Notamacropus eugenii: one gene and its partners. The protein of the gene in region 2 purifies or fractionates together with the protein of the main gene of each other region. This does not show direct contact. Links are inferred from orthologs where the notes say so. Each region holds a gene or a part of one and is shown on either strand. Other genes may lie near its edges.

Region 1 (7,274 bases), on a different chromosome or scaffold from region 2:
TCTTACACTCCCACACAGGATGATCCACAGATCCTGTTCTCACCCAAATCTCCTAGCCTCAAAGGCACCTCTCTACAGGTCCCTAGATGGTGGATAGAACTCACTACTGTGACTGCGATTTTGGGTGAGTCTGTGAGCTGACTTGGGCCTCTTTTGTCATCTACAAATGGAAGGAGTTAGACTCTGGGTCTCTGAGGCTCTTACAGAACTAGATCTATGATTCTACAATCTCACAGACTAGGGAAGGCAGAAAGATACCAGAGTATTCCTCAGATCGCTTCTCAAAGGGAACAGGGGTAAACTCTTAACACAGACAATCTTCTAAAGCAGATGGCATGAGAATGGGCTAGATTCCCTTTGGGAAATGGCAAGAGTCCTCTAAAGTGGGAATGTCACTCTTAGATAGTGAATGTTCTAAGGCAAGGTGGAGAACCTGTGGCCTCGAGGCCACATGAAAACAATGTTTTGTGAAGTTTGAATTCAGTCAGAGTGGCACCTGAGGACCTACAGGGCCACATGTGGCCTCAAGGCTACAGGTTCCCCTTAGAATCTAAGGGGAACCATAGTAATCTACTGTTTGATAAATCCAAAGACACAGCTTCTGGGATAAGAGCTCACTATTTCACAAACACGGCTGGGAAAACTGGAAAACAGAATGGCAGAAACTGGGCATAGACCAACATCTTATACCGTATACCAAAATAAAGTCCAAATGGGTATATGATTTAGATATAAAGTCTGATAATATAAGCAAATTAGGAGAGCACGTTTAGTTTACCTGTCAGACTTATGGAGAACAGTGGAATTTATGACCCAACAAGAGACAGAGAACATTATAAAGTGCAAAATGGATAATTGTGATTACATTAAATTGAAAAGTTCTTGCACAAAGAAAGCCAATGTAGCCAAGGTCAGGAGTGACACAAAAAATTAGAAAATTAGGAAAACTAGGAAAAAATTTTTACAACCAGTATCTCTGAAAAAGGCCTCATTGTTAAAATATATAGAGAAATGAGTCAAATTTATAACAATACAAGTCATTCCCCAATTGATAAATGGTCAAAGGATATGAACAGGTAGTTTTCCAAGGAAGAAATTAAAGCTAAAGTCAAATGAAAAAATGCTCTAAATCACTATTGATTAGAGAAATGCAAATCAAAACAACTCTGAGGTACCACATCACACCCATCAGATTGGCTAACATGACAAAACAGGAAAATTATAAATGCTGGGGAAGATGTGGGAAAATTGCAACACTAATTCATTGCTGGTAAAGTTGTGAACTCATCCAACCATTCCGGAAAGCAATTTGGAAGTACACTCAAAGGGTTATAAAAATGTGCATACCCTTTGACCCAGCAATACCACTTCTAGAGCTGTATACCAAAGACATCATAAAAATGAGAAAAGGACTTGCATGCACAAAAATATTTATAGCAGCTCAGCTCTTTTTGTGGTGGCCAAGAACTGGCAATGGAGGGGATACCCATCACCTGGGGAATGGATGAACAAGCTGTGGTACATGAATGTAATGGAACGCTATTGTGCTATAAGAGATGGTGAGCAGGAGGACTTCAGAAAAACCTGTGAAGACTGAACTGATGCTGAGTGAGGAGAGGAGAGCCAGGAGAACGTTACACACAGTAACAGCCACCTTGTTCAATGACCCACTTTGGTTGACTTAGCTCTTCTCAGTAATGCCAGGACCTAAAACAACTCCAAAAGCCTCATGATGGAAAATGCCGTCCACATCCAGAGAAAGAACTGTGGAGTCTGAAAGCAGATGGAAGCAGACGATTTTCTCTATTTTTGTTTTGTTTTGTTTTGTTTCTCATGGTTCCTTCCATTCGTTCTAATTCTTCTATACAATATGAGTGATGTGACAATACGCTTAACAAGAATGTATATGGAGACCCTCTATCGGATTGCAAGCTGTCTTGGGGAGGGGGGAAGGGAAGGAGAGAAAATTTAAAACTTATAGAAGTGAATGCTGAAGACTAAACACAAATAATTTAATTTATGTTTAAAAAAAGAATCTAAGGAGACCAGAGTCTTCTAAAGAGGCAGAGGGGAGAAATGGTCTGGATCACCCTGTCTCTAAGGGGGGGTCCCCATCCTCTAAGGGGGTTCCCTTCTCTCTAAGGGGGGTCCCCATCCTCTAAGGGGGTCCCCATCCGCTAAGGGGATTCCCTTCTCTCTAACGGGGGTCCCCATCCTCTAAGGGGGTTCTCATCTCTCTAAGGGGGTTCCCTTCTCTCTAAGGGGGTCCCCATCCTCTAAGGGGGTTCTCATCTCTCTAAGGGGGTTCCCTTCTCTCTAAGGGGGGTCCCCATCCTCTAAGGGGGGTCCCCATCCTCTAAGGGGGTCCCCATCCTCTAAGGGGATTCCCTTCTCTCTAACGGGGGTCCCCATCCTCTAAGGGGGTTCCCTTCTCTCTAAGGGGGTCCCCATCCTCTAAGGGGGTTCTCATCTCTCTAAGGGGGTTCCCTTCTCTCTAAGGGGGGGGTCCCCATCCGCTAAGGGGATTCCCTTCTCTCTAACGGGGGTCCCCATCCTCTAAGGGGGTTCCCTTCTCTCTAAGGGGGTCCCCATCCTCTAAGGGGGTTCTCATCTCTCTAAGGGGGTTCCCTTCTCTCTAAGGGGGGGTCCCCATCCTCTAAGGGGGTTCTCATCTCTCTAAGGGGGTTCCCTTCTTTCTAAGGGGGGATCCCCATCCTGAAGAGGGGTAGCCGGGCCGCCTGATTAGCCCCACCTCCCACAAGGGGCAGGCCCCTCTACCTCGGCGCCTCGCCCCAGTCCCTCGTGGGGCGGCGCGGGTGGCGTGACGTGACGGGCCCCTGGGCCCCAGCTCTTACCCGCGCCTTTGCGAGCGCCTCGGGAGCTCCTGCTCCGGGGGCCGCCACGGGCCCGTGGCTTCGGCTGGTCCTCCATGTCGGCCGCAGCAGCTCCTCCTCCTTCTCCCAGAGCCGCCCGGGACGCGTGTCAGGGGCGGGGCCTCCGTTCGTCCGCCATGATCGCCCCGCCCCCGGCTCCTCCTCCTTCCCCGGAGCCACCTGGGATGGGCTCGGGGGGCGGGGCCTTAGCTCCTCCTCCATGACGACATCACAGGCTCCTCCTACTTCTTCCTTCCAGAGCCTGGGAGGTGAGGCAGGGGGCGGGGTCAGGGCGGGACTTCAGCTCCTTAACCATGGACTGTCTCACCGAGGGCTCCACCTCCTCCCTGCGCCGTGGGAGGTGAGATGTGGGGCAGGATGGGGGCGGGGTCAGAGGCAGGGCCTCAATCCTCCATGACGACAGCGCCACCGACTCCTCCTTCTCCTCCTCCTCCTATCCTCAGCCTGAGACCTGCTGCGCAGATGGGGGCGGGATCCGGGGCGGGGCCTGGGTCCTTCCGCCATTGGTCCTCGCGCCGGGCAGGGCGGGGCGGGAGGCGGGGAGGGGCGGGGCCTCGGCCAGGCTGAGCGGAGGAGGAGGCCCAGGCCTGCCTGGAGAGGGTCGGGGCAGGTAGGCGGCTGCGGCGGCGGTCTGGTTGCTGGGGAGAGCTCGGGGCAGGGCTTTAGCCCCAGGCCCGCGGCCTGAGCTGGGGAGTCACCGGACTCGATCCAGGCCGCGGCCCAGCCCAGGGTGCCTAGGGGGTGGAGGGGGGCCCTACACGCGGCTTGAATCTCGGCTAAGCCACCTGGCCCCCAGCGGAGAGAGCGGGTAGGCCGGGAGACGGGGCTCGTCCGGTGGGACAGCCTCCGAGCCCCTCCCCCCAGCCCCCGAGGACGAGCACTGCTCAGCGCACTCTTCGGGCCCAGCACACAGTAGGCACTTAGTTCACAGGCGTCAGTTTCAGGAGTTGGTCAATGTCACCGATGCCCAGCAGCCAAGCACGTGCAGGGGGAGCTTCGTGAACTTGCTTCTGGTCTGTCTTCTCCCAGTGATCCTCGATTGATTGATTGATTGACTGATTGACTTCCCACAAGTAGGAGAGGCTTCTTTTAAAAGCCATCTATCCATTCGATTTCCCTCCGTCCCAGCAAGGGGTGAAATTACTTAAAGCTCTCCGGTCTCAGTTTCCCTCTCTGTAAACTGAGGGAATTGGCCGTCAGTATAGGTGATGCTGAGGTGGAGTGATGGGGTGATCAGGAGAGTAGGTGATGATAGATTCCCTGAAGGGCTAGTTGCATTTTTTTTTGTCTAAGTATCCTCAGAGCTTAGCCCCGAGGCCCCGTAATCCCTTAAGGAAGGCTTGTTGGATTGAGTGCTGTGGCTTCAGAATCCCAGAGCAGCGCTATCCCAGTGCTGATGGATGAGAAGGTTGACACAGGGGATTTCTAGGGCCTCTTCTGCACCTAGACTATGACCCTGTAAGTGGGGATGCTCTGATGCCCGTGACATTAGAATAGTGGAATCTCCAATAGAATTGTAGAAGTGTAGAATCCAAGAATGATCAAAGAGTTCCCCCCCAGTCCCTATCAGTAGAGCAGGGCTTCTTAAATATTTTCTACTAGGGATGCCCAGTGCTTCTTAAACTGTGTGTCAGGACCCCATATGGGTTCGCTAACAGAGAACCAGAGTTCTGAATTAGACCTGGGATTTCTCAGTATTTGGAGTGATTTTTGCATTACAAAATGCTTACCCTTTCCTCTGGAAAGTAAAGACATCTCAGAAAAAAGTAGGCATATGTAAATGTGGAACTGGAAAACTTAGAAAATACATGAAAAGTTCATTTTTTAAAATACCAACTATTGTTTTATCATCTTTAATATTTCCATAAAAAGACTGCTAAAGTTCAGCGATGATTTTTACTAAACTCTTAAAATTATTAGATTCTTCATAATAATACTTAATTCAGAAGTATATTTATATACCTACTCCTTAATATAATAATAAAATATCTTCATCAGTTAATTGCAGTGTGGTATATATAGCACTGAGCAGTCAAACTCAAGGCCAGAGGCTCTTGCAAAACTCAAGAGTGAGGCTGAAAAAGAGTAAAATATAATTGGGAAATGTTTAACAAAATAAAGAAAAATACAATATAATATAAATAATGTTAATTTGTGGTTTTCTAATGTGGCTGGCTGGGAGGGATTCATTTCTATTTGAGTTTGACACCACTGACATTGAGTATAGAGTCATGCTCAATTTGGAGTCAAGTCTCCTATCTCAACTACGTGATAATGGTCAAATCACTTACCCTTCAACATCCTCAGTTTCCTGACCTATAAAGTGGAAATAATAATAAACCCACTATCTATCTCACAAGTTGTTGTAACAATCAAATAATTAACAAATATATTTATAGTGTATATACATATATATATAAAGTCCTTTGTAAATCTTAAAGCAGGTTATATAAATTGAGCAGTTATTTTCTTTTTAGTGTTTCTCTACAGTAAAACTGAAAGAAAAGTCAAAAACTCAGGAATGGCTGTGGAAGAACTTCAGTCCATAGTAAAGAGATGTGTAAGTAATTTTCTTTTTTTAATTTTTAATTTATTTTATTGCAGTCATAGCAACTTATGAAGATGGTCTAGAATAAGGAACAGAGGGGCTGCCATCTGTGTCAGAGAAGGGACTCCACATCCATAAAACCAGAGAGTCCTGACATAGCTCAAAAAAATTTGAGAAATGGATCTACTTACTTTCTTTTTTAAAAAATTAATTTATTTGTTTTCAGTTTTCAATAATCACTTCCATGAGTCTTAAATTTTCTCTCCCTCTGCTCTCCCTCCCCAAGATGGCATACAATCTTTGGCATGCAATCTTATACGGGTTCTACATGTACATTCTTATTAAATCATTTTCACATTAGTCATGTTACATAGATAAATTAAAATGAATGGGAGAAAAAACAAAACAAAACAAAACATAACACAAGAGAAAATATTCTGCTTCAGTCTGTCTTCCAATTCCATAATTCTTTGTCTGGATGTGGATGGCATTTTCCATGAGTCCTTTGGAAATGTTTTAGGTCCTTACATTGCTGTGAAGGGCTTAGTCTGTCAGAAACAATCATCGCACACTGTGGCTGTTACTGTGTTACTGTGTCCTGGTTCTGTTCATTTCACTCAGCATCAGTTCATATAAGTCTTTCCAGGCCACTCTGAAGTCTTCCTGTTCATCATTTCTTATGGCACAATAGTATTCCATCACATTCATATACTACAACTTGTTCAGAAGTAATTTTCTTTGAACAAAAATAAACCTCTCCCTTCCACATTGTTATTTGTTTGTACCAGAGAATGCTTTGTATGCAAGGCTGGACGTTTGGGTTTTCTCTTGGAGCAGTGTTGCTTTTTTGCCCCCACTATGAATAAATACTCCCAGGGGTGGGAGAAGGATAGTGGAGATACCAGACACACATTGCTTCTCTAGCTTCCTAAGTTTTTCTGAATTTTAGTACATTGGATTCTAAGATAGTTTATTCGGATACTGTTTAGGAAAGTCATTAATTCTGCCCATGTGTTTGTACTATGGGTGTAGATCAAGACTAAACAATCAAGTCATAATTTAATTTATTATATAATCACGTAAATGAATGCTAACTTGTCGGGTTTTGTTGTTGTTTCTAAAGCAAATCCTAGAAGAGGAGAACTTCAAAGAGGAAGATTTTGGTCTCTTTCAGTTAGCAGGCCAAAAGTGTTTAGAAGAAGGGCACGTTGCTCAGGTATTAGACATTTTAGAAAATGAAAAGAACAAGGTAAGTGTTGTCACTTACTATCATGTGTAACTTTTTATACTTTATTAGATAGAGTGCAGCCGACGGATACCCTGGATAACCCTGCCCAGATTACTAAATGAGCATTGCATGAGCGTTCTATTCTTAGTGTACATCTAAATAGCTAATACCATTGGGATACTTAGCATAATAGCTTAAGCCTAACCTTCCAAGCGGTTGCACAAATTCACATCTTGGTAAACAGTGTTAAAAATGGGATTCAGCTGAATTTTTTTTTTCCGTTTGCCAAGTAGAACTCTTTTAGTAATGATTTTAAAACACTTTGTACTGTGTACTTCATTAAAAAAAATTAAACAATTAAGAGCGAGGGTTCATGCCTATGGTTTTTTTTAACAAAATTGGTGGCATTTAGGTAGAGACTTGGATTAATTTAAAGCTTGGGCTGTATTCGTACAGTTTTCACTATACAAAATATAGCCCAACTCCAATGGCCTGACTTCAGGGACCCAGACAAACAATAAATTAATATTATACTCTTTTATTCATTTTAAAGAAAGTCACTTGTGGGATAAAAACAAAATACTGTTTATGAAAAAATTTTGAA
Region 2 (7,152 bases):
TTGAAAAGATGAAAACTGCAACCAAAAAAAGGTCAAAGGATTCTAAAGTAGCAGGCATGGTATATTTGAATTTGTTAACCATAAAATTAAGATTTAAGGGTGAAAAGTGAGGCCAGAGCAGAGGTAATGTACTGAGAGAACAAGGAGGAGAGGAGTGCCTCGATGTCATAGTAAGGATGAAGAATTGGTTTAGAAGGGAGACAGAGGGAGAGATGGAAGACTAAGAGTTTATGATGAGAGGGAAGACTTTATGTGTTTAAGATGATATAGCTAGCATAGTTAAGAATAATAGTAAGATCCAAGGTATGATCATTTCTACATGTGGTTGAGATGGAATGAAGGTAGGAGGCTGATGAATTACAATGCCAGTATATTTGATGGGGCATCAATATGCATAATGAAGTCTCCAAGTTCAATGGCAGGGATTTGAGCGGAGAGAAAACTTTGAGCTAGGTGGCAACCTTCTTCAAGAGGCAGGCTTACCTGAAATCAGATAAATGACTACAAGGATTTGGACAGAGCAATATATACAGACAGAATGAATGGAGAGAGACAGAGAGATTGTTGAATGATTGAAGCAGAGGGAAGAGCAGGGAATAGACCACCTCGTCCTCTCCTTGCCCTGTGTGTCAGGGAATATGAGAGAGAGCATATTTAGGACTGGAGAAGGTAGGCAGAGACGCAGTGCCTTTTAGAGAGACAAGTTGTTGAGAGTCCAAGAAGGTGACAAGTGTGTGAGAAAGTGGTGAAAGATGAAGAGAAATTTATTAAGAACAATGTGGGAGTTACAGAGAACTCAATGGGAAGGGAGGCCAGAACAGCAGAAGGATTTGGGAAGAACAGGGCAAAGGTGGATAGGGAAGAGGGACTGGGGAGTAGTTAGAAAAGAGGATTTTCCCCTTGGTGGACATTAATTTTGAATCTTGGGCAATTGGGGAAGAAAAGATTGGAGTTTGTTAACCATAAGACAGAAAAGATTGGAGTTTGTTAAACATAAGATGAAGTATCAAATGAATGGATCTCTCATGCTCAAGGGTCCAGCAGCGTTGGAGAGTGGAGTTAATGTGTAGTTTAGAGAAGTTCAGACTTTAGAATAATTTCTGGATACAGGGACCTCAGGGACCTGACTGAACACACAGTAAAGTGCAGTTTCTTTGAGTCCCAAGATGGCAGGGTATGGTGCCCTGCTGTCTGGACATCCAATAGTTACCAATTTGGAAGCCTTGTTACTTTTCTGCGATAGTCCAGGGAAGCAGGGCACAATTAACTAGGACCTCCTCCCAGGATCAATGATGGAGAAAAGGAGAACAGAAAATAGTAGGAGCGTTGGCATTAATGGTGGCCCCCACCTGGGTGTTCAGTGTTAAAGGGAGGCCTGAAGAACAGAAAAGAATAGGCTGAGCTTGCAAATCAGGGCAGTGTGTTCAGGCAGGAGATTCTAGTGGTGAGGAAGCTTAACACACCTCCTGGGAGAGGTGAAGCCATGAGCCTCCCGGCATTCCCAGCTGTTCTCCCCAGTTCCCAGCAGGTGTTCTCTATCGTCATTCTCTCCTGCAGCAGTGGCAACTCCTAGCTCCCTGTGGCATCAATGGTCTTTTTTTCTTTTTCTCTACCTCTCTCCAGAGGAAGAGACTCTTCCAGGTCTGTCTGCACAATGCAGAGGGAAATTAATGTTCTGAGGTTTGGGTTCTTCCAACCATCAACTCAAATGAATCACCAACCCAAGCTGCTTCTAAAGCCTCCATAGACCTCCAGACTCACCAAAGTTTGCTCAGGACTCAGCAACATAATCCCACCCCTTTCACCTTGATGCAGGAGTCTGTTACAGACACTGGGTAAAGAAAGAGTGAATTCACAGTCTAATCCCTCAAGCTTTTGAGAGTAGAATTTGGATAGAGTTAACTCAGATTACTGGAAGCTATTTCTGGCACAGTCAAGACAGGAGAACCAAGTACCTTCCCTCATTACTGGACACCAATTGTGGGCCTGAGAAAAATTAAACAATCTCCTTGAAAGCTTTAGAGTCCCAAGGGACTTCAGAAGTTCTCTAATTCAACTACCTCATTTTCCACATTAGGTAACTGAGGCCCAGATCTTCTCCAAGGTCACACAGGTAGTAAATACCTCAATCTGGTGTGCTGGATCATACACTACTTGGAGTCAGGAAGATACTTAACTGTGTAAGCCCGGGGAAAATCATTTAACTCTTTTGATCCATGTAAAATGGGAATAATGCAGAGGTGTGGTGGAGACCTAATGTAGTGTTTTGCAAACCTTAAAGCTAATATAAATTGTGAGTTAGTATTACTGCTAAGTGGTAGCTTTGTAAGATTCATGTTGCTCGAAGCAGGATCTGACTGGGCTGAATGTGTTAAGGTTTCAAACCTGGGAATGAATTCTTGGGTGAAGATGAGGTCTTGGCTCTTTGTGTATCCTTTTCAGGATTTATTCTACTACCATGGTTTCAGTTCTCACCTGTGGCCAACTTTCTTGATTGCAAAATATCCAGTGTGTCCATTAGGTAATACACGTCTTGCCTTCCAGCTGTTTTTTGGGAGTGCCCATGGGAACAGCCTGAAACCAGAAGTAACTGATGGAAGCATGAAATAGATGCATGTTGAAATGCAAACAATTTCCTTCTCTTTCTCTTCCTACATTTCATAATCTCCCTGGATAAAACAGGGTAGCAATAAGGAATACAATAGGGAAAGCAGTAAGGGCCACTGAGGGAGCTAGAAAGCTCTAGGTAACCATAATAGGAAAGTTAAGTCATAAGGCTGTAATCATGCTTGTGCAGGGTAGGGATCCTTAACCTGAGATCCATGAACTTGTTATTTTTTTATGTTGGATTACTGAATTTCCATATAATTGGTTTCCTTTGTAATCCTATATATTTTATGTATTTACGAATTTTATCTTGAGAAGAATCCCTAGGTTTCACCAGACTGCCAAAGGGGTCCATGAAACAGACAAGAACTGTTAGCAACTTCTCACTTAAGGCTTTATGGTTTACAAAGTTCTTTCCAATACAATATCACCTCATCCTCATTACAATCATATCAGTTAGGTAGAGAAGATATTATTATTCCTAATTTTAAAAGGAGTGTACACTGAGAGAACTCAAGTATGTTATGCAAGATCAAAGAGTAAATAACAGGACTGGGGTTAGATTCTAGGTTTCTCTGACTTTCTGGAGTCAGTGCTTTTTTCCACAAGATCTCTCTCAAGAACTTTGGATTTGATTGTGCAACATGGGAGACACTGGCACAGGACCACTCAGCATGGTGTGCCCACATCAGAAAGGGTGCTGTGCTCTATTAGCGAAGCAGAATTGAGACAGCACAGAGGAACCGTAGGATGTGCAAATTTGGAGTCACCACCCCAAATGTTCACCCAGACTATCTGTGCCCAATCTGTGCTAGAGCATTCCAAGTTTGTATTGATCTCATCAGCCACAGTCGTGCACACTGAAACTTCACTTTATCATGGTGATGTCCCTGTGGTCCTCTTCAAGAATGAAGGACAACAACCAACCAGCTAAGTACTAGAATTAAGGACACAAAGACAATAACATGGACCCTCAAGGAGTTTACATTCTAACTGGGCACATGGGTATATAAAAACAGATACAGAGTAACCCTGGAGAAGACACTGGCCCCTAGGGCAACTAGGGAAGACTTTATGTAAGAAAGTGGTGCTCCAGTTGCATTTTGAAGGGAACCAGGGTTTCCAAGAGTTGGAGCTGAAGAGGGAGAACATTCCAGGCATGGGGGGTACAGCCAGTGCAAAGGCATAGAGATGGGAGATGGGAATGAAGGGGAAGAACAGCAAGAAGGACTGGAGGATCAAAGCCAGCAGAGTTGGACTGCAGTGTGTGTGGAGGGCAGTAGTAAGAAGGCTGGAAAGGGAAGACAGGGCCATGTTGGGAAGAGCTTGAAATTCCAGAGTTTGTACTCGATGCTAGAAGCAACAGGGAACAGCTGGTATGTATTACGTAGGAAGGCGGCATGATTTAGGGAAATCCCTTTGGCAGCTGTGGGAAGTAAGACAGTTCCGTTGTCCACGGTCCTGGGGGATAAGGCTGGTGACCCAGCCTGGACAGGTTAGAGGTCAGGAACGACTGCGCAGGCCCAAGGAGCTGGGGAGGAAGGGCCGGTCAGAGAGGAGAACACGGAGTCACGTGGCCAGGGGGCGGCGTGGCGGGAGACGCAGCCTAAGCAGCCCCGCCTTCCTGCACGTGTCGCAGTCTTCCGGTAACCTCCCTGGGGAGGCTGCCTGTCCACTTAGGGGGACGGACAGTAAAGACTAGGAGAGGCTTTCCCGATTTCACCACATGTTTCTCCCTGTCGGACCTCACAAACTAGCCGGGGAGCCCCGGGCAAGTCACTTCACCCAGTCGGCTTCCGCTTCCTCAACCGTAAAACGAGCTGTGGAAGGAAACCAGTCCAGCGGCTTGGCCGACGGCCTCCCAAATGGAGCCACGAGGAGCAGGACGTAACGGAAACGACTAAACACAACAAACGAGTTCCACTCCCAGCGCCCGGCCAGACGGTGGCTCCGCCCCCTTCCCGAAGAGCAGTCCAGTGATTGGCGCTCCGCGCCGTCCAATCAGGCGGGAGCGGGCTATAGGAAGGGCTGCGGCGTTGGCGTCAGCGCTGGCAACATGGCGGATCGTCTCACTCAGCTTCAGGACGCCGTCAACTCGGTGAGGAAATGGAGTTGGCGTCGCTGCCTCATCTCTTCCTGGGCGGGTAACGGGGCGCCGGGGTTTGGGCGTTTTCTTTCTCCTCCCGCAGCGGCTGGGGCTGAGATGACGAGGTGAGAGAGGTGGCAGTGACCCGGCCGGGAGCCGAGCTCGGGACTGACCCAGGGACAGGGGGAGGGGCCGCGGCGTTGACCGGGGCTAGTGACCCACCGGAGACGTCATCGCCTTCGGCTCTCGTCGGTTCTTCCCCCTCCCCCTGCGCGGCTGGTCTGCCCCGGAGCCGCCCTCCTTACCTTTCTGGGGGAAGGGAGACGGGCCGGAGGAGAGTCCTGGGCGCCTCCCCGCGGTGCGGAGGAGGGAAGCGAGCGCTGCAGGCCCTGGGCGGGCCGTGCGACGGCGGTGCCCGCTCCTTCCGGGCTCGGGCTGCTCGCGAGGAGGGCTTTGTTTTCTACCCCCGGCTCCCAGACGGGGCTGCGGCTGCCCCCCGAATAGAGGAACAAGACGCTGTGCAGAACGGTTACGGGTGTGAATCAGTAACCAACCAGATACAAATATGTGCTAAACACTTTACGGTAAACGTTGATCAATAAATGCTAAGCACCTCATGTGCCAGGCACTGTGCTAAGCGCCTTCCAGATATTAACGATAAATATTAAGTTCCTTCTATGTGCCAAGCTTCCTGCTATGTGTTAATCGGTGATCAGTAAGCATTCATTAAGCACCTTCTATGGACCTGGCCCATATCTAATAATATTAAGAGATGTTCATTTAATCCCCTCAATAGCCCTGGGAGATAAGTGCTAGTATGATCCCCATTCAAGGAAACTGAGGCAGACAGGTTAAGTGACCTGCCTTGGCACGTACAACTTCCAAGTGTCTGAAAGCGAATTTGAACGCGGGTCTTTTTGACTATAAGAAGCAGTTTTATTTAGGGCTGCCAGTGTACTTTACAGGTTGTCTTATCTCTGTTGGCCCAAATGTACTGGGGATCCACAGTTAAATAACTCTTATATGCGAAGAAGCTTTGTGTGTGTTTTCATAGTAGATTTTCACAGAAACTATTGAGGGAGTTATTGTTAGAGGCAGCTAGTGACGGTGGGCCTGGAATCCGGAACACTCAGTTTGCTCTGTGGCCTCCTTTCTTCAGCTGTAAAGTGGGAATAATAATGACACTTATCTCACAGAGTGAAATGAGATAATATTTGTAAAAATGATCTTAGCACGGTGCCTGGCTTCCTAAGTCCAAGTCCAAGTCTGGTGCCCTTGTCCACTAGCCACCTGACTGCCACTTAATTGGGCTTGCTGAACAGTGTGGCAGCAGGGTGAAGAACCTTCAGTTCCTGATCATCGAAGTGTGATTGTTCAGCCAGGATTAACTTTGACATGGCATTGCAAAGTTGACCCTATTTTAAGATAATTTTACGTATGAAAAATAGAGTATTGAGTAATCTTAGCCATTGTCTTCAGAAGGGAACTTAGGGAAATTGAGGTGGAAGTGGAAGTTCATTCATTTGGCAGATAATGAGTGTATACTGCATGCACAACCCCACTAAGTTCTGCAAGATACAGTTCTTTCCCTTGAAAAATTTAGCGTTTAATTGGGACAAAACATGTACACATTTTAAAAAGTAACAGTACAAAAACAGCATATTAATTAAAAGCCAACATGAATGCTACTCAAATCCTGTGGGTTCAAGAAAGTAGAGATTTGCTTGTTCAAGAGATTTAGAAAGGATTCATGAAGTCTAAATGAATCAGAAGATATATTTTGGGGAGTGATGGAAATATTGGGTAGGGGAGAGATTATTGAGAGCTTTGAATTTTATGTTGAGGGTGATAGGAAACTGAAAGATTTGAAGCAGTGGTGGCTTGATGAAAGTGGTGTTTTTAAAAAAAATAAATTCTATTGGTATACTGAATAGATTAAAGAAATATGAGACTAGAGACATCAGGAATCTATTGCAGTAGTGCACAGGTGAACAGAAGATTGAGTAGTGGGAATGGAAAATAAGGGACAGATATGAGATATTTTGAAGGAAAATATTAATATTGTTAACAATAAAAGAGAAGAATCATAGGATCATAGCAATAGATCCAGACCTCAGAGGCTGTTAAAAACTCAAGTATGGATCAATAGTGACAGGGCAACCAAAAACTCTAAAATGATCTAAGACCTAATTTATAGAATAATCTGTTTAGAGCTAAAGGGGATATTAGAGGTCATCTAGTCCAACTATTTCACCACAGAGAATAAGTGATTTCCCTTAGGTCTCACAGTTAATAAATACAAGTATAGCATCTATAAAAAGAGGTGGTAGTTCTGTTTTGGGCATCTAGGTGGTACAGCAGATAGAGTGCCTGGACCGGAGATAGGAAGATTCATCTTCATGAGTTCAAATCTGGACGAAGACACTTCCTAGCTGTGTGACCCTGAGCAACTCACTTAA
Region 3 (7,939 bases), on a different chromosome or scaffold from region 2:
AAGGTCAGTAAAGTGGAGTCCAAAAGGTCTAGGAGCCCAGGAATCGAGTCCATGCCAGGTTGTGCAATTAGCCTTGTGCTGGTGTCTTGGGGAACTAGGAACAGTCTCAACTACCTGGTCCAGATCTGAGACTATCACAAATGCCAGATTTGGACATGAACATGATGGGACCAACACTACGTAGAAACTCTGCTACTTCTAAGCCCATTCACCCCAGACACCAAAGTGGAATAGGAGTTGGGGTACCCCTGAGGTGTTGGGGGGAAATGTTGCACCTCTGCTCTTACTACAACCTTAAAGCAAATATCCCTTTGTATAAACTACCTGATGTTAATTCATTAAACAGTGCTCAGATACTAGTCATTGGTGGCTAATAGTGAAAGGAACAGTATCATCTGATGGCATTAAAAAAGCACCCCAACTTCTCAAGGGTATCCCTAGAACCCAGAGATGGAAATATAGCTGCCTCTGAGAGTATTTGGTATAATAATAAATGTTAGGATTCATGTCAATGTGACTTACTTATAGGGTTTGGATTAGACTAGATCACCTCCGAAGTCTGTGGCTTTGTTTCCCTCAGGTCCTGTTATCCTGAATTATGATGTTTTATGAGAGAAGTCTGCTGTCACTGAGGATTCTCTCTCATTTCCCTACACAAAGAACCTAGACTTGCAAATATAGCCAGCCAAGCAATGCCTATCATTATAATTTTCTGTCTGTTCCTCTGATGTATCTTCCCAGGATTGTGTCTGAGGCCAGATTTGAATGAGACTAACTTATTGTATTATAAACAACTCCATGATGAAGGTGGGAAATAAAAGTCTGGACAGTACCAGAGTAAAGAATCTCCCTCCACGAATGCATAAGGTCATCTGCTCTGCAACTGGGATTGTACAGGTAAGAGACACTGAGGCCCAGTGGATGGATACTAGCCTTGAATCTAGGAAGACCAGGGCTTAAGCTGCACCTCCAACAAAGTCCAATCTTATTTCTCAAAAACTAAAGGACCTTCCTACAAGAAAGTACCAAGGACTCTCTAAGGTCCACAGTTAAAAATTTTAATGTTTAAATCATGAGGTTTTGAAAAGAAAGGCTTGTCATTTTAAAAAATCCCCGGTGCTCAGCATAGTGATCTTCACATTTGTGTGTATGTGGCAGGAGGGAATGTGAGGGGTGCTGATTGTGTAGCCCTAGGATTTCATCAGAGGGGAACAACTCCCAGTATGGAAAGTCTTTCCAGCAATGAAAACCTTTGACTTATTCCTTATACTTTAGAAAGTCACATAGGCACTGATGAGTGAAATAATTTGTCTGTGGCCTCAGACAAGTGTGTTTTCTCTCTCAGAGGCAGGATTCCAGAATCATAGATCTAGAGTCAGAAGGGCCTTCAGAGGCTTCCTAGTCCAACGCTTTATTTTACAGATAACTGAGGTCCAGAGGAATATAGGTCCAAGGTCATTGAGATAAATATCAGAGGTGGACTTTTGGGATGCAGGTCCTCTGACTCTGAAGCCAATGTGATCTTTCTATTATGCCAAAGTGCAGCCCAGGATGCTCAGGTCTTTCCAGTTCTAAAATTGCCCTTTCTATCCAATATGCCATGCTTCTTCTTTCCCTGTATATAGCAGGCATTTAATTAACATGTGTGCAATTAAACTGATCTGATAACAAACCAACATACAAGACTGGAATGCCTCCGCAATAGAGATCTGGAAAAAAGTCAGTCATGCAAAATAGACTGTTGAAAATTTTGCATTCTAATAAAAATGTTCACAGACCTAGAGGTGCTATTATTATTTTCAGCCTAACTATAAGGTTAAATTAGGCATAAGTATCTGAAAATTGATGGTTACTCTCTGAGAAACCACACCATGGTAAAAACATTAAAAATTTATACAGTAATTCCCAGCTTCCAAATACATAATCGCTGCTACCATAAAGTCATTAGCAGTTCCTTACAACTTAAAAAATATATATATTAACCAAGAAAGCAAAAAGAATCCTTAGTTCATTTCATGTGGAACATTTGTAATAATCTTGAAATGTGGTCGTTGTTCTTTGTCATTCTGCATGCCTCCCCTAACAATCCAAACTTTAAAGTGTGGCAGACTGTTCAAAGACAGTCTTTGAGATTACAGGAATCTCTCAGCATATGGAAGACTTATGTTTTTGGAAAGTCGTACCCAACATAAAATTCTATCTGTCCACTTTTTCCATGGTTGCTCATTACATAAGTAGGGATGCATTTCTATGGAAACAATGTACATATATGAACCCATTCTTTGAGACACAATAGTCATGCCTCTTTGGGTAAACACTGAAGCTCCTCTCCTGCCACACAAATGAATTTGATTTTCTATTTTAACGATTCCAAAGATCATGGTACAGCTGGGTTACAGCCCAGCAGTGATAAGCAAGTGATGAAAAGTCAAAGACAATAGAATCACGGAATCACAGATTTTAAGAGCTGGAAGGGACGCCTCATTAGCCATCGAAGCCAACCCATGGCTACAAAGAATCCCTACTGTAACATGAATAAATAAGTGGAAAAGCAAGTGGTCAACCAAACTCTGCTTGAGTACCTCTCATGAGGGAATAGCCCCACCCATTCTACTTTTAAACAGCTCTAATTGTTAAGGTATTTTTCCTACTATCAAGCCTAATTTTTTTTTCAGAGCTTCCCTCATTACTCTCAGTTCTGCCCTATGTGGCTAAACACCACAAATGTAATCCCTCTTCCATATATACAATAGCCCGTAGACATACCTACAGTTTGTGATCCATTGATGTCTTTTCCAAGGTTTCCTCTTTGCTTTGTTTTCTGTGTTTACCATCAGGCCCAGGACCCTCAATTTCCCAGAGTAGCTTTAAAAATCGTGGGCTAGCTCCACAGTGTGACCCACTCTCCTCTAATTCTTGCTTTTTTCTTTATAATATAATGAAAATTATTGGTTTTCATTGATAAATTTTGCTTTGACACAGCTGACACTTCTGACCAACCGACCCCTCCAACATTCTTAACAGTTAAGCAAAACTGCCTCAGGGTGATGGATAACACTTGTTACTTTCCTTTTTTAGAGTTTATTGCTTATTACCAGAATGGGAAGTGGGGTACTTAAATGTTAATAAATTGGTGCTCACCTCATCAGTATACAACCTGAATTTTTATTGCTTTTTAATGCTGTCTTCGTTTACACTATTTCAATCATTGGATATATAGTGTAAGTCTCCCTCATCTGCGCCTCCCCCACTCCAAAAGTGATGCTAAGTTTTAGGCATATATTGTGTTGGAGCCATCTAAAAAGTCTCCATTGATGTTTCTTTTCTTAGATACGCTAGTTCAAAGCACCCCCCCACCCCAAATTTAGTGGTGAAGCAAAATTAAGTATACACAAATATCATTGTCTTTCCCATCTTTCATACACATAAAGGTATACTCCCATAGATTATCACATCACCAGTGGCAGAAGAAATGCATATGGACAGGAGTATTAATGGGAGAAAACTCATACAAAGAGAATACACACAACCAGGAAAAATGGTTTCCCCTGCAGAGCTACTAATATTATATGCCAGTTTGGTAATGTCATCAAGCTGAAAGATGGTCATGTAGGCTACTCTCCCTGTTGCTGCCCCCTGGTGACTGGACACAGTACTAATTCTATCATCCCATATTTTTGCTGGGCTGCTCTCTGTTGGTCCTCCAGTGGTCTCTGCTGCCATCTGCCAGTACTCTGCTGAATTGCCATTGCTGTGCAGCCTGCTCCCTGAAGTGGGCAGAGTGTTGGAGTTATTTTAGCTCATAGCTCTAGAGGCTAGCTCAGTTTTTTGGTTATCCATACTCATGACAGCCAAAAAAAAAAACAAGTCACAAAACAAAACAAAAACCTCTTGAAGTCTTGTCTGTCATTCGAACTGCTTCTTTCTGCCTCAGGCAAGAATTCAATCTATTCTATGAGTTCCTTTATGGCCAGTCACCATGGGACTTAGCAAGACTGGGCTGGCCAAGTAACATTTGTCCCATATTCCACGAGTCATTAAGTGGCTGCCTTCCTTGTAGGCTGGTCTTTTCCATTTGCTTTTTTTCACTGTGAATCACTTAGTATGTCTTCTAATGTTTCTCTGAATTCTTTATATCCACTACTCCTTACAATGCAATGGTATTTCATTACATTCATTATCACAAATTGTGGAGCATTTTCCCAGTCTTTGTGTGCATATTGTTTCCAGGTTTTTGCAATTATGAATAGTATTGCTACTGGCCTTCTCCTAAATAGGGGCCTTTCTTGTTATCATTAACTTCCTTGGGATATAAACCCAGTAAAGCATTACCGGGTTAAAGGATACACACAACTGAGTTGTTTTTCTTATATAATTTTTTACATAATTTCTAGGATGGTTGGACCAATTTATGTTATCCGATCTCAGTTGGGAAAGGCAAACACTCTACCCCTCACAAATCATTTTGCTATGCAGCTCCCCACATATGTTGTTCTAAACCTTCCCATCTCACATCAAGGCTCCAACAGCACCCCCTACTTGGTGTTCTCTTTAGCAGAGAACTGTTGCTTCCTCTTATCCCCGCCAAAAAAAATTCACTAAGAATTTCCCTCTCTTTCCTCCTCCTTATTTCACATTCTTTAGACATATTCTCCCACTATCTTTTACTTCACTCTGGTCTCAGATGAGCTAGACCTTGGATGTCAAAGCCAACATTTGCCTTTCATCCCATTCCCTCCCAACAACTCCAACAGATTGCCCCCTCTACTATCCACACTTTACATCTTTACTCTTTCCCTAACTACTGAGTCCTTTCCAGTTGCCTGCAAGTATGCCCATGTCTTCCTCATTCTTAGTTAAAATCATTTATTAAGAATTTACTATGTACCAGTCACTGTGTTAAGTGCTGAAGATGTAGAGAAAGATGGACACATAATCCCTTCTCTCAAAGAGGATCTACATTCTAAAGAGGGAGACAAAATGCCAGCTACTATGTACATACAAGATATATACAGGATACATGAGAAGCAGTCTCAGGGGGAAGACAGGGAGTCAGTGCAGAGAAAGACTTTTTGCAGAAAGTGGAATTTGAGGTGTCTTGAAGAAAGCCAGGAGGCAGAGAAGAGGAAGGAAAGCATTTTAGACATAGGGGACAGGTGTGCCATGCGAGCCTTGAGCCTCCAGTTAAGATTATACTACACAAATTTGGAGTGGACCTAGTTAGCACGTTTTCACCATTTTCTCCAGCTCTATTCAGCAGCACATGAATAAAAAGAAAGGCAGCAGATAATGGAAGTCATCCAAGTCTGAGGCTTGGCAAGGCATGATGGTAACAGGATAAGGGAGGTAATGGACTCAGTTATGGAGAAGGGTGTAGAGTTGAATTGATTCACAAAAGGGTCAAGTTAAGGAAGGCAAAAAAGTTTAGCCAATGTAGGGGTGATGAAATGGGAAGAAACTAAGGAATGGAAGGGACTGGTCATTGTGAGGACTAAGAACAGGGAAAGATAGAATGACAAGAGATTGGGATCAGATAATGGAAATGAGCAGTTTATGAACATGGAGGTATGATGGTAAGAAAAAGGGCAGGAACATTTCTATGTGTAGCTGAGGTTGAAAGGAAGAGTAGGTCATGAAAACTGAGTAGACTGAGGAACTGTGAAGCTAGGGTGTAGTAATGTGTTTTTGATGGTGTGGAGGTATAGTAATATGTATGCTGGAATCCCATAGGGAAGGACAGGAGTTGGGAAGGAGAGAAAAACTGTGATCCAGGCATTGGACTCATTGAGAAAAGGAGGAAAGTGTCCTGGGGACTGATAGATCACAGCTATCAGAATCTTGATAAATTTGGGTGAGCAATTTGGATTGAAGGAACCGGAAAGGAGGAGAGGTTATTGAGTGATGGTGGTAGTAAAGAAAGAGTCTGAAAGTAGCTATGGAGAACAAGGAGGTTTTTTGACTCCACCACCAAAACCAGTGAGTTGGAGAGTATCAGTGAAAGTACAACCAGGGCTGGAAGGAGTGACTAAGTCTCAGAGAGAGTCAGAAGATGGAGGGAATGGGAAAAGAAAATTCTTAAGATGAAAGCAAGTGTGTTACTATGGAGTAGGCAAGCATCCCAAGAGAACCCAGTCAAAAGGAGCCAGTAGATTTGGAGTGTGACATTGTGAGTTGGGGCAGGGAGGTAGAATTGAGGGGATTGGGAGTTAGGAAGCCAGTGGTGAAGAAGGGAGTTTGTACAATGACATTAGGGGTTCAGAATCACTGGGATGAAGGGACTGTGACTGGGTAGGAATGTTAATCATTAAGGGATAAATCCAGCCATAATATTAGTGATTAGAGAGAGGTCCACTGAAGGATGGAGATTAGACTGTTCAAGGCTCTTACCTGAGTCCCAAGTTTGTGGTAGCTGGTGGAGATACCGAATCTTTTGAAGTCTAAGAGGCCAGACTCAAAACAGGCAGGAGGTGGAGAAAGTACCAGCTGAGTTGGGACAGGAGGCAATAAGTAGCTAGCAATTCAGGCTGGGTCTGATCTCAGTACTGGGTGAAGACAAAGGTTATAGACTGGGGATTTGGATCTGGATCTGATGCAAAACTCTCTGGGAAGCCTCTGGAATGAAGGGGCTGCAGGACAGGGAGCTGGACCCAGAGCTGATTCAAGGCTCCCTTAAAAAAATCCTTATTTGATCAGACCATTCCTGTTAGCTGCTGTCCAATATGTCCTCTTCCTCATGGTTAAACTCCTTGAGAAAGCCACCTACAGTCAGTGCTTCCATTTTTTTCTTATCCCACATTCTTTTGAAACCTGTGCAAACATGGCTAATGCAGAAATATGTTTTGCATGACTTCACATGTATAACTGATATATCGCTTGCCTGCTCAATGCTTAAGGAAGGGATTGGAAGGAGGGAGAGAATTTGGGACTCAATTTTTTTTAAATGGATGTTAAAAATGTACATGCAATTGGGAAATATTTAATGAAATAAATAAAAATATATTTAAAAATAAATCCACTGCAATTTGGCTCTGTCCCTATTATTCAATAGGGAATTCAGCTGAAATTCCTCTTTCTAAAATTACCAATGATCTCAGTTGCCAAATCGAATGCCTTTTCTCTTCCCTCAGCTTTCTTGGCCTCTCTGCAGATGCTTCTCCTTGAGAAAGTAAGAATTGTTTCATTATTTGTACTTTTATCCCCAGCCTCTAGCACAGCACATGAAACATTGTTCATTTGTTCATTTGTGTTTGATCTTTGTGATACTGAGGATCGTAGCAGGTCAATACTGTCCAAGGAGTTTTCTTGGTAAAGATACTGCCATGGTTTGCCATTTCCTTCTCTAGTGGATTAAGGCAAAAAGAGGTTGAGTAACTTGCCCAAGGCTACACAGCTAGTAAGTGTCTGAGGCTGGATTTGAACTCAGGTCTTCCTGACTCTAGACCCTGTGCGCTACCCCACTAAGCCATCAAGCTGCCTCTAGATGTTACTATGGAACATAGTAAGATCTTAATAAATGCTTGTTGGTTGAATAATTGTGTGATGGGTTCCACTTGCTGGGAGAAGCAAAGAGCTTCCTTAGGCAAAATAAACCCATTGAGGAACTGTAAGAAACAACACCTCATGCAAACCCTACTGAGTGAATGATTATGAGTGAGAACATTCAGTCCCTGGGGAAGGATTCCTCCTTGGTACTGATCGATATTTTTCCATGAGCTCTGATAAGAATTCTGTATGTTTTTTTGACCTATAGGTCAACTATTGTTTTCCTCTCATTTAAACTTTGTGAACTCTGAGCTTGTGAAGGTGAATGGTAGCAACTCTGGGAGAGTCAGGTGGTTCAATGGCTAGAGTACTGGTCATGGAACCAGGAAGATTCACATTCCTGAGTTCAGTTCTAGCCTCAGACACCTAACTCTGTTTGCCTCAATTTCCTCATCTA
Region 4 (7,803 bases), about 160 Mb from region 2:
TCACAACATATTCCTGAAACAACTGAACTGTATCAATCATAAACTTCCCATTATAAATAACACCAGAAGAAATGAGAAGTTACAATTAAATAAAGGATGATTTTCCCAAATACTTCTTGAAGGGGTAAATAAAGGGATTAGCAGAATTGGTTTTATTGTGAACCCAAAGGCAAGAAGACACATTATTTCCTGATACATTTGTCCATCTTGTATTTCAGTACTCATGATACTATTTGCAAAAAGGCCTCTGTGGAAATAACTGCAGCTCATGTACCAACACTTGTCATGAAAGATGACAGAGTAAAGAAATTCTCTTAAGAATTTGATAAAATTCTCCAGATTAAAATTAACATCTTCAGTGACACTCAATGGCCTCAATGCAAAGATGGCCAAAAATTTATTAGAAAAAATGTATCAATAAAAAGATGTGAGAGGGACTGATGACTTGTAGGCCACACAGAAGTCTAGGGGTAGGCATGGATGAGTTACATTCTGAATCCTTGGATGAAAACAACCAAATCTTTGACTGGTTCAAAGATTTATATGAATGTGTATATATATATATGAGTATATATTTATATAAGTAGGAATATTATAGGAGTACATGAGTAGACATCATCAAGAAAGCCATTGTGGAAGAGGTCATCATATGAACTTAAAGAGATGAATATAATTTTGATAGACTAAAATGGGATTGGGAGATACAACATAGGCAAACAGTAACAGGGAGAAATCTGACCACTTGCAGAAAAAGTCCTCAAAATCCATAATGGTTATGGTTTTAGGCTGAAGTTGGGGAATAACAGGACATGGGATGGAAAGAATGGAAAAATCACAGAATTTTAGAACTAGAAGGAACCTTAGAGATTTTCTAACCCAACCCTTTCATCTTACAGGGAATGAAATGGAGGTCAGGTGAAGCTAAGTCACCCTACTAGTTAATCACAGACCTGAGATTAGAAGATAGGTTTTCGGTGCTCTCTACACGATACTTTGCAGCCTTTCCCAGTCTGGGGCTAGTACAAAGGATGGGAAGGGGATTTAAATACTTGGTATAAATAATTATAACAATAGATGTGAAAGCCTATACAAATACAAGATGCTACATTATCTCATTTGATCCTTCCAATTCTGATTGCCAGAGAAGAAAACAAGAAAAGGGAAGTTGAATGATTTGCCCAATGAGGGGGTACTGAGCCTAGAATTCATGTCTGGGAATTCGGGGTGTGTGGGAGGGGAAGTGATCAAAAAAAGTAAAAGATGAACGCAACAAGAATCGGGAGAGAAAAGTTAGAACCCTGGAACATTAGAACCAAAAGGGATTTTAGACATTTTCTAATCTAATCCCTTGATTGGGCAAAGAAAGAAACTTAGACCCAGAATGTAAGGGACTAGAAACTTTTAGGTTTTCTAACTTCTCCTACACACTCTTTCCAATGAGGGCCACCTCCAGTCATCCTGATCTCTATTTTGCCCCTGGATCCAGACTGCTCTGGAGGAGCAGTGAGGTGGCAGAGGAGGTGACTCTGCACAGCCCTCTCTCACCTACATCTAATTCACCTGTATGTCATGGCATCACTTCCCTGATGTCATGGTCCTCTTGCAGGACAAAGGACAAACAACTCTTTCCAATACTCTGATCTGTCTGGGATTTGATAGGGGATGAGCAAGTGGTACCAACTGTGTACAGCTCAGATATTGCGGAGAGATGAAAAAAAGAAAGGTACTCATGCTCATGGCCCCTCTTTCAGTTCTGTGATGCAGGCCACCCTGCTCCTCTCCTCATTAATTAACAGAAAGTATAAAGACATACGTTTATTACACTGGGTCAACTTCAACACCTAGGGGCACTAAGGGCTGGTAGTCCACCATGACATCAACTTCAAAGCTTAGGAATTCCTGACCCCAAAATATCACACTAGGTCTTCCTTCCCTCTGAAATGATCTTCCACTGACCACCTCTACATCTTGTATGCGTAGTCTTTTGGCATGCTGTCTCCTCCATTAGAATGAGAGCTCCTTAAAGGCAGGGACTGTGTTTTTTCGCCTTTCTTTGAATCTCCAGCTCCAGCACACAGTGCCTGGCTTAGACAGTAAGCACTTACTAGATGCCTGCTGCTTCATCGCAGTAGCTGGATGACACAGTAAGTGCCTAATAAATGCTTGCTGACTGTCATAAGAGGGATCCTTGGACATCGCTCAAATCCAAGCCCTTCCCCTTACACGGGGCACTCGGGTCTACCGGGCAGGGCTGATCTCTGCATTGGACCCTGGGCTCCTGATCCACCTGAGGCAGCCGGAGCCATCACGGGTTCACCTCATCTCTTTGCCATGGCAACGTGTACTCTGCAAAGAGCCCATCCTCGGGGGACTCCGCAGATGCGCAGAACTTACCTGAGATGCGAAGGAGCACGTCACCCCCGGGCAGTTAATCGTGGGGATGTGGAGGAAGGGGGAAGAGAGGAGGAGAAAGGAGGAGGGGAGAGGGAGGGGGAGAGGGGAAAGGAGGAGGGGAAAAGGAGGAGGGGAGAAGGGGAAGGGGAGAAGGGGGAGGGGAGGAGAAAGGAGGAGGGAAGAGGGAGGAGGGGAGAGGGGAGGGGAGAGGGGGAAAGGGGAGGGGGCAAGGGGAGGGGCGAGCGCGGAGAGCACGTTACCATTTGATGACGTCATGGACCAAAGGCAGGAAAGAGTAGGTCTCCTCCTCCTTGAGGCCCGGGGGCGGCGGGGGCTGAAGAGAAACCGACGCCGGAGGCTGCGCCTGGGATGGCTGCTGCTGCGGCTGCGGCGGGGGCTGGGGAGCGGGCAGGGGCTTCTGCTCCTGCAGCGGCGGCTCCTGCGGCTGCGCCAGCGTCTCCTCCGCCGGCCTCCCGGAGACCACGCCGACGGAGGCCATGGCCGGTGGGCCGGCGGACCCGGCGCTCGGTCGATTATCGCCGGGGCCTGGGCGGGAGTCGCTTCCTTTAGACGTCACTGGGCGCGCCGCACCGGGGCGAGCTGGGTACGGGAGAGGCCGCGAGCCACCGAGCAGTCCGCCGCCCCGCCCCCTCCTGCGCTTCTTAGTGCGCATGTCAGGAGTGTGTGGCGGGGCTGAGGAGGGGCGAAGCGAGATGAAGGCGAGGCGGAGCGAGGCGGGACCAGGCGGGGCGGGGCGGGGGAATGGAATTGGCTGTTGCTAAGCAACGGCGTAAGCCTGTTAGCGAAAGCTCTTCCCTTCTCACCAGTCAATCAACCATTATTAAGCGCGCACTATATGCCAGACTGCGTGCTGTGTGCCCGGAATACAAAAAAGAGACAAAAGACTGCCCCTGCCCTGGAGGAGTTTACCATCTAGTGGGGGAGAAAACATACAAATGCAAAGCAAGATAGACACAGGATAAATAGGAAATGACAGAAAGCAGACGCTGGAATTGAGGGGTGGGGGAAGGCTTCCTGTAGACGGTGGGACTTTAGTTGGGATTTAAAGGGTTCTGGGAACAGAGGAGAGAGAGAGAGAGAGCATCCCTGGTGTGGGAGACAGCCTGGAGCCAAGAAAAGGAGACTAGGGGAATAGTCAAGAGGCCAGGGTCACTGGATTGAAAAGTATGTGTTGGAAAGCAAGGTGTAAGAAGACTGGAAAAATAGGAAGGGGGTAGGTTATGAAGGCCTTTGAATGCTGAATGGAGAATGGACTTGAGGCTGGCCGACCCACCAGCAGGATTTTGCATATACTGCATATAATAAGGTATAATGAGGTCCTATACCAGAGTGGTAACAGTATCAGAGGAGAGAAGAGATGTTGCAAAGGTGAAATCGACATGCTTTGGGTATGAGGAGCTGAGAGATAATGAGGAAACCAGGACGACTCCTAGGGTTTCCAGCCTGAGGGGCTGGCAGGATGGTACTGTCCTCTACAATAATAGGAAGGGTTTAGGGGGAAAGATAATGAGTTCTGTTTTGGACATATTGAGTATAAGATGTCTGCTGGACATCCAGTTCAAAATGTCAGAAAGAATTGGAGGTCAGGAAAGAGGTTGGGGTAGGGTAAGTAGATTTCAGAATCATCAGGATAGAGATTAAGTCCTTGGGATCTAATGAAATCACCAGGTAAAGTAGTATGGAGGGAGAGAAAAAGAGGGTCCAGGATGGAACCCTGAGGGCCTGCTGTGGTTAGAGGATCCAGCCAAGGAAACTGATAAGGAGCTGTCAGATTTGGCTTCATGGGGTGGGGGGGTGGGAGGGGAGCGGGGGGTGCTGATACGTATTTAAAGACAAACTCTCAAAAAAAGTACATTATATACTCACTTTTAAGTTTAATCTGTTCATCACCTTCATAGGTCTAGATAATCAACAAAACAATAAATTAAAATCTAATTTATAGCTTTTGCTGATTACCAAAGTGTAAGTTTAACAACAGGCTCTCAGTAGTATACCACTGGGATTGATTAGGTCTCACTCTAGCCTTCCCTGAGGCATTTGTCAAAATCTCATACCTCACCTTGCCTGAGGTCTATCCTTTTGGAAGGATTGACTTTCTTTTGGGAGGACCAAGGTTCTCCAGGGAATGGGACTAAAGATCATTGACCTTAGGGTTCCTAAATGCTGGGGGGGAGGGGGGGAAGGTAGAAATGGAGATGGGATTGGGAGACAAAATTTCTCTCCCTTAGGCTGGTGAGCCTGAAATTCACACCTACCTACCCCCTCCATCCCTCTTTCCCATACTACCTTTCTGCACATTTGCTCTTCTTTTCCCCTCACTGTCAATTTAAGCCTTCAAAACTAGATTCCAAACCTACCTCCAGGAAACATTTCAGTCAATCTTAAGCACCTACCACTTAAGCATAGCATTAAGTTCTGAGAATACAAAGAATAACAAAAGACGGTTTTCTGCCTCATGGAGATTCCAGTCACAAACAACTACGTACAAACTAACTATATACAGGATAAATTGAACATGATCAATAGAAGGCATTAGAATTAAGGAGAACCTAGAAGATGAAATTTTAAGTGGAAGCTGAAAAAAGATAGGGAGGTCAAGATAGAGAGATAAGGAGGGACAATGCTCCAAGCATGGGGACAAGCAGGAAAAATACCTGGAGTCTGGAGATGGATTGTCTTTTTCAAAGAACGGCAAGGAAGCTAGTGTCACTGGATCTCAGAGTACAGAGAGTATAAGGTAGAAGAAGACTGGAAAGGACAGAGGCAGGGGCAGGAAACAATTGACTTCCACCAACATTTATTTAAGTCTGCTATTTACTACAGACATTTAAATGGCTCGGTGCGCTGGACCTAGACTCAGAAAAACCTGAATTCAAATTTGGCCTCAGACACTTCCTAGCTGTGTGACCCTGGCTGTATCACTTAACCCTGCTTGCCTCAGTTTCCTCATCTGTAAAATGAGCTAGACAAGAAAATGACAAACCATTCTGGTATCCCTGCCAGGAAAACCCCATGGATAGTGTTTGTGTGCTATGGTCCATGGGGTCACTAAGAGTCGGACTCGACCGAACAAAAACTATTTACTATGTGTAAGGAACTATGTTAGACACTGGGGATACAAAACTGAGGAATACAAAATCCTTTTCTTGAGGCATACAGGCACACATATATGTATGCGTAAATGCATACATACAGGTTCTACTGGGGTAAGGGAAAATGAATGACATAGTTCCCTGTTGCTTTTAGGATAAAGTATAAAATAATTTTTAAACTAGCAGGGACTTTAGAGAAACCTTCTGATCTAGTTCCCTCATTTTGCAGATACAGAAACTGAGGCCCAGGTCACATAAGTAGTACAGAGAAGACCCAAGCCGAACCCCCAGGTGTCTGTCTGACAGCAGATGTAGGACTCTTTTCCCTGAACCATGTTGCCTTCACCTTGCATATAAAATTCTCCACCGCCTGTCTCCTCTCTACCTCTGTTTCGTTCCATATCATTCTCCAGAACTCTCAGTCAAAAGGAGCTACTGTTTCCTCTGTGATATAACAGCTCTATGACCTTACTCTAATCAACATAGTATTAACAAGCAGCATTTGTATGACATTTTTAAGATTAAGCATTTTACAGATACTTCATTTTATCCTTACAACAACTCTGGAGGTAAGTGCTGTTACTGTCTCCATTTTATTTTATTTTTTATTCTGAACTTAAGAAATAAAATAAGCATTTCTTTAACAAAGTCGAATAGTAGCAAAAAAAAAAAAAGCATTGCACATGAAACTGCAAATCTATTATGCACAACTTGCTTTTCCTTTAAAGTGCATATTAAAGTTATTATGTAACTTTCTTTTTTCTCCCTACCATTGGACACAAATATGTATATATGTGTAAATGCGTACTATCCATACTTCTATTTATCAATTCTTTCTCTGGATGCAGACAGCACCTTCCTCCACAGGTCCTTTGTAGTTAAACTATCCCCATTTTATAGATGAGAACACGGAGGCAGGCATCCTAATAACTTGCCCAGGACATGCTGCTAGTAAGTATCTGGAGACAGGTTTCTAATTTAGATCTTCCTGGCTCCAAGCCCAGTACCCCCATGCCCTGGGATGGGGCTAGGGTCTAAGCATTACCACTGGCCCCCTATACTTGGCTCTGCCCTGGTGGGGCCTGACTCTTGGACTATATCAGATCAAGTGTTTCTCAATCATTCCCCACCCCCATGCTAAGGACTAAGCACTTTTCCCCTGTTCTCCAAGCCCAAGTGTTGCCTCTGTCTTGGCATTGCCAATGCTGGCTCATAACTCTGTGCCCCTATGCCAGGCCAAGTGTTTCCTCTGCATTCCCACTCCCCATGCCTTACATAAATGCTCATACTTTGTAAGGCAGTTTTAGGAAAACTTTAACACTTCCTTTACACTCTTTCTTTGCACCTTGTAGGGCTGTAACAAAACTTTTAACACCTTCTGTACAAATAGTAAACACTTAATAAACAGTGAATAAACAAATGAATCTGAGGTTCCTACCATCTCCCAAATTCTCTAGGATTCTAAATACCACAATTATCTTTCATTTAATTCAGAATACAATGTGAGATACACTAATCCAGTGATACATGCCTTATAACTTACAAGCAAAAATGGGTTTCAGAAAATGCTCTGAAACACTATTAATCAGAGAAATGCAAGTTAAAACAACTCTATACCACCTCACACCTCAACCTCACATCAACAAAATGTTGGATTTTGGGGGGGATGTGGGAAAACTGGGACACTAATGCCCTGGAGTGGAGTTGTGAACTGATCCAACCATTCTGGAGAGCAATTTGGAACTATGCTCAAAGGGCTACAAAAATGTGCATACCCTTTGACCCAGCAATACTGCTGCCAAGTCTATATCCCAAAGACATCCAAAAAAATGGAAAAGTACCTATTTGTACAAAAAAAATATTTATACCAGCTCTTTTTGTTGTGGCTAAGAATTGGAAACCAAAAGGATACCCAGCAATTGGGGAATGGCTAAGCAAACCCTGGTATATGATTGTAATGGAATAGCTTTGTGCTATAAGAAATGACAGGCAGGATGATTTCAGAAAAACCTAGAAAGTCTTACATGGACTGATGCAAAGTGAAGTGAACAGAACCAGGAGAACACTGAAATTGTATTAAGTCCTTATGAATGCAATATATTATATTCTAAAAAAAATAATATAATTAGGAATAAGGTTTTGACTTCATTACCTTGCATGCAGGTGTCAAATACTGTAAGTGCAGCCATTTGCTTTGGAAAAGCTGAAATAGCCATGACACGTTTGTTTCTGGATATTTCTATTTACCCTGAATGTCAAAAGTTTTAAAATGCCGTTTTTTTCTCCATAAATTTGT

Evidence for each region.
Region 1: the proteins of MED21 (region 2) and RPAP2 purify together in Homo sapiens (affinity purification with mass spectrometry; 3 studies listed by BioGRID and IntAct, with this or other methods). This does not show direct contact. The link is inferred for Notamacropus eugenii from reciprocal best matches to the Homo sapiens genes MED21 and RPAP2.
Region 3: the proteins of MED21 (region 2) and MED12L purify together in Homo sapiens (affinity purification with mass spectrometry; 3 studies listed by BioGRID and IntAct, counting the BioPlex papers as one, with this or other methods). This does not show direct contact. The link is inferred for Notamacropus eugenii from reciprocal best matches to the Homo sapiens genes MED21 and MED12L.
Region 4: the proteins of MED21 (region 2) and MED9 purify together in Homo sapiens (co-immunoprecipitation; 8 studies listed by BioGRID and IntAct, counting the BioPlex papers as one, with this or other methods). This does not show direct contact. The link is inferred for Notamacropus eugenii from reciprocal best matches to the Homo sapiens genes MED21 and MED9.

The regions. Positions count from the first base shown.
Region 1 is NC_092873.1:503,848,204-503,855,477, reverse strand, and holds the start of RPAP2 (putative RNA polymerase II subunit B1 CTD phosphatase RPAP2), read right to left. Parts: upstream 3,046-7,274; 5' UTR 2,932-3,045; coding exon 2,856-2,931; intron 1-2,855. Other genes in the region: GLMN (glomulin), read left to right, coding at 5,416-5,454, 6,566-6,691.
Region 2 is NC_092874.1:178,501,368-178,508,519, reverse strand, and holds the start of MED21 (mediator of RNA polymerase II transcription subunit 21), read left to right. Parts: upstream 1-4,086; 5' UTR 4,087-4,663; coding exon 4,664-4,705; intron 4,706-7,152. UniProt on the Homo sapiens protein: Component of the Mediator complex, a coactivator involved in the regulated transcription of nearly all RNA polymerase II-dependent genes.
Region 3 is NC_092877.1:339,850,068-339,858,006, reverse strand, and holds the start of MED12L (mediator of RNA polymerase II transcription subunit 12-like protein), read right to left. Parts: upstream 3,022-7,939; 5' UTR 2,767-3,021; intron 1-2,766. UniProt on the Homo sapiens protein: May be a component of the Mediator complex, a coactivator involved in the regulated transcription of nearly all RNA polymerase II-dependent genes.
Region 4 is NC_092874.1:334,239,298-334,247,100, reverse strand, and holds the start of MED9 (mediator of RNA polymerase II transcription subunit 9), read right to left. Parts: upstream 3,083-7,803; 5' UTR 3,068-3,082; coding exon 2,655-3,067; intron 1-2,654.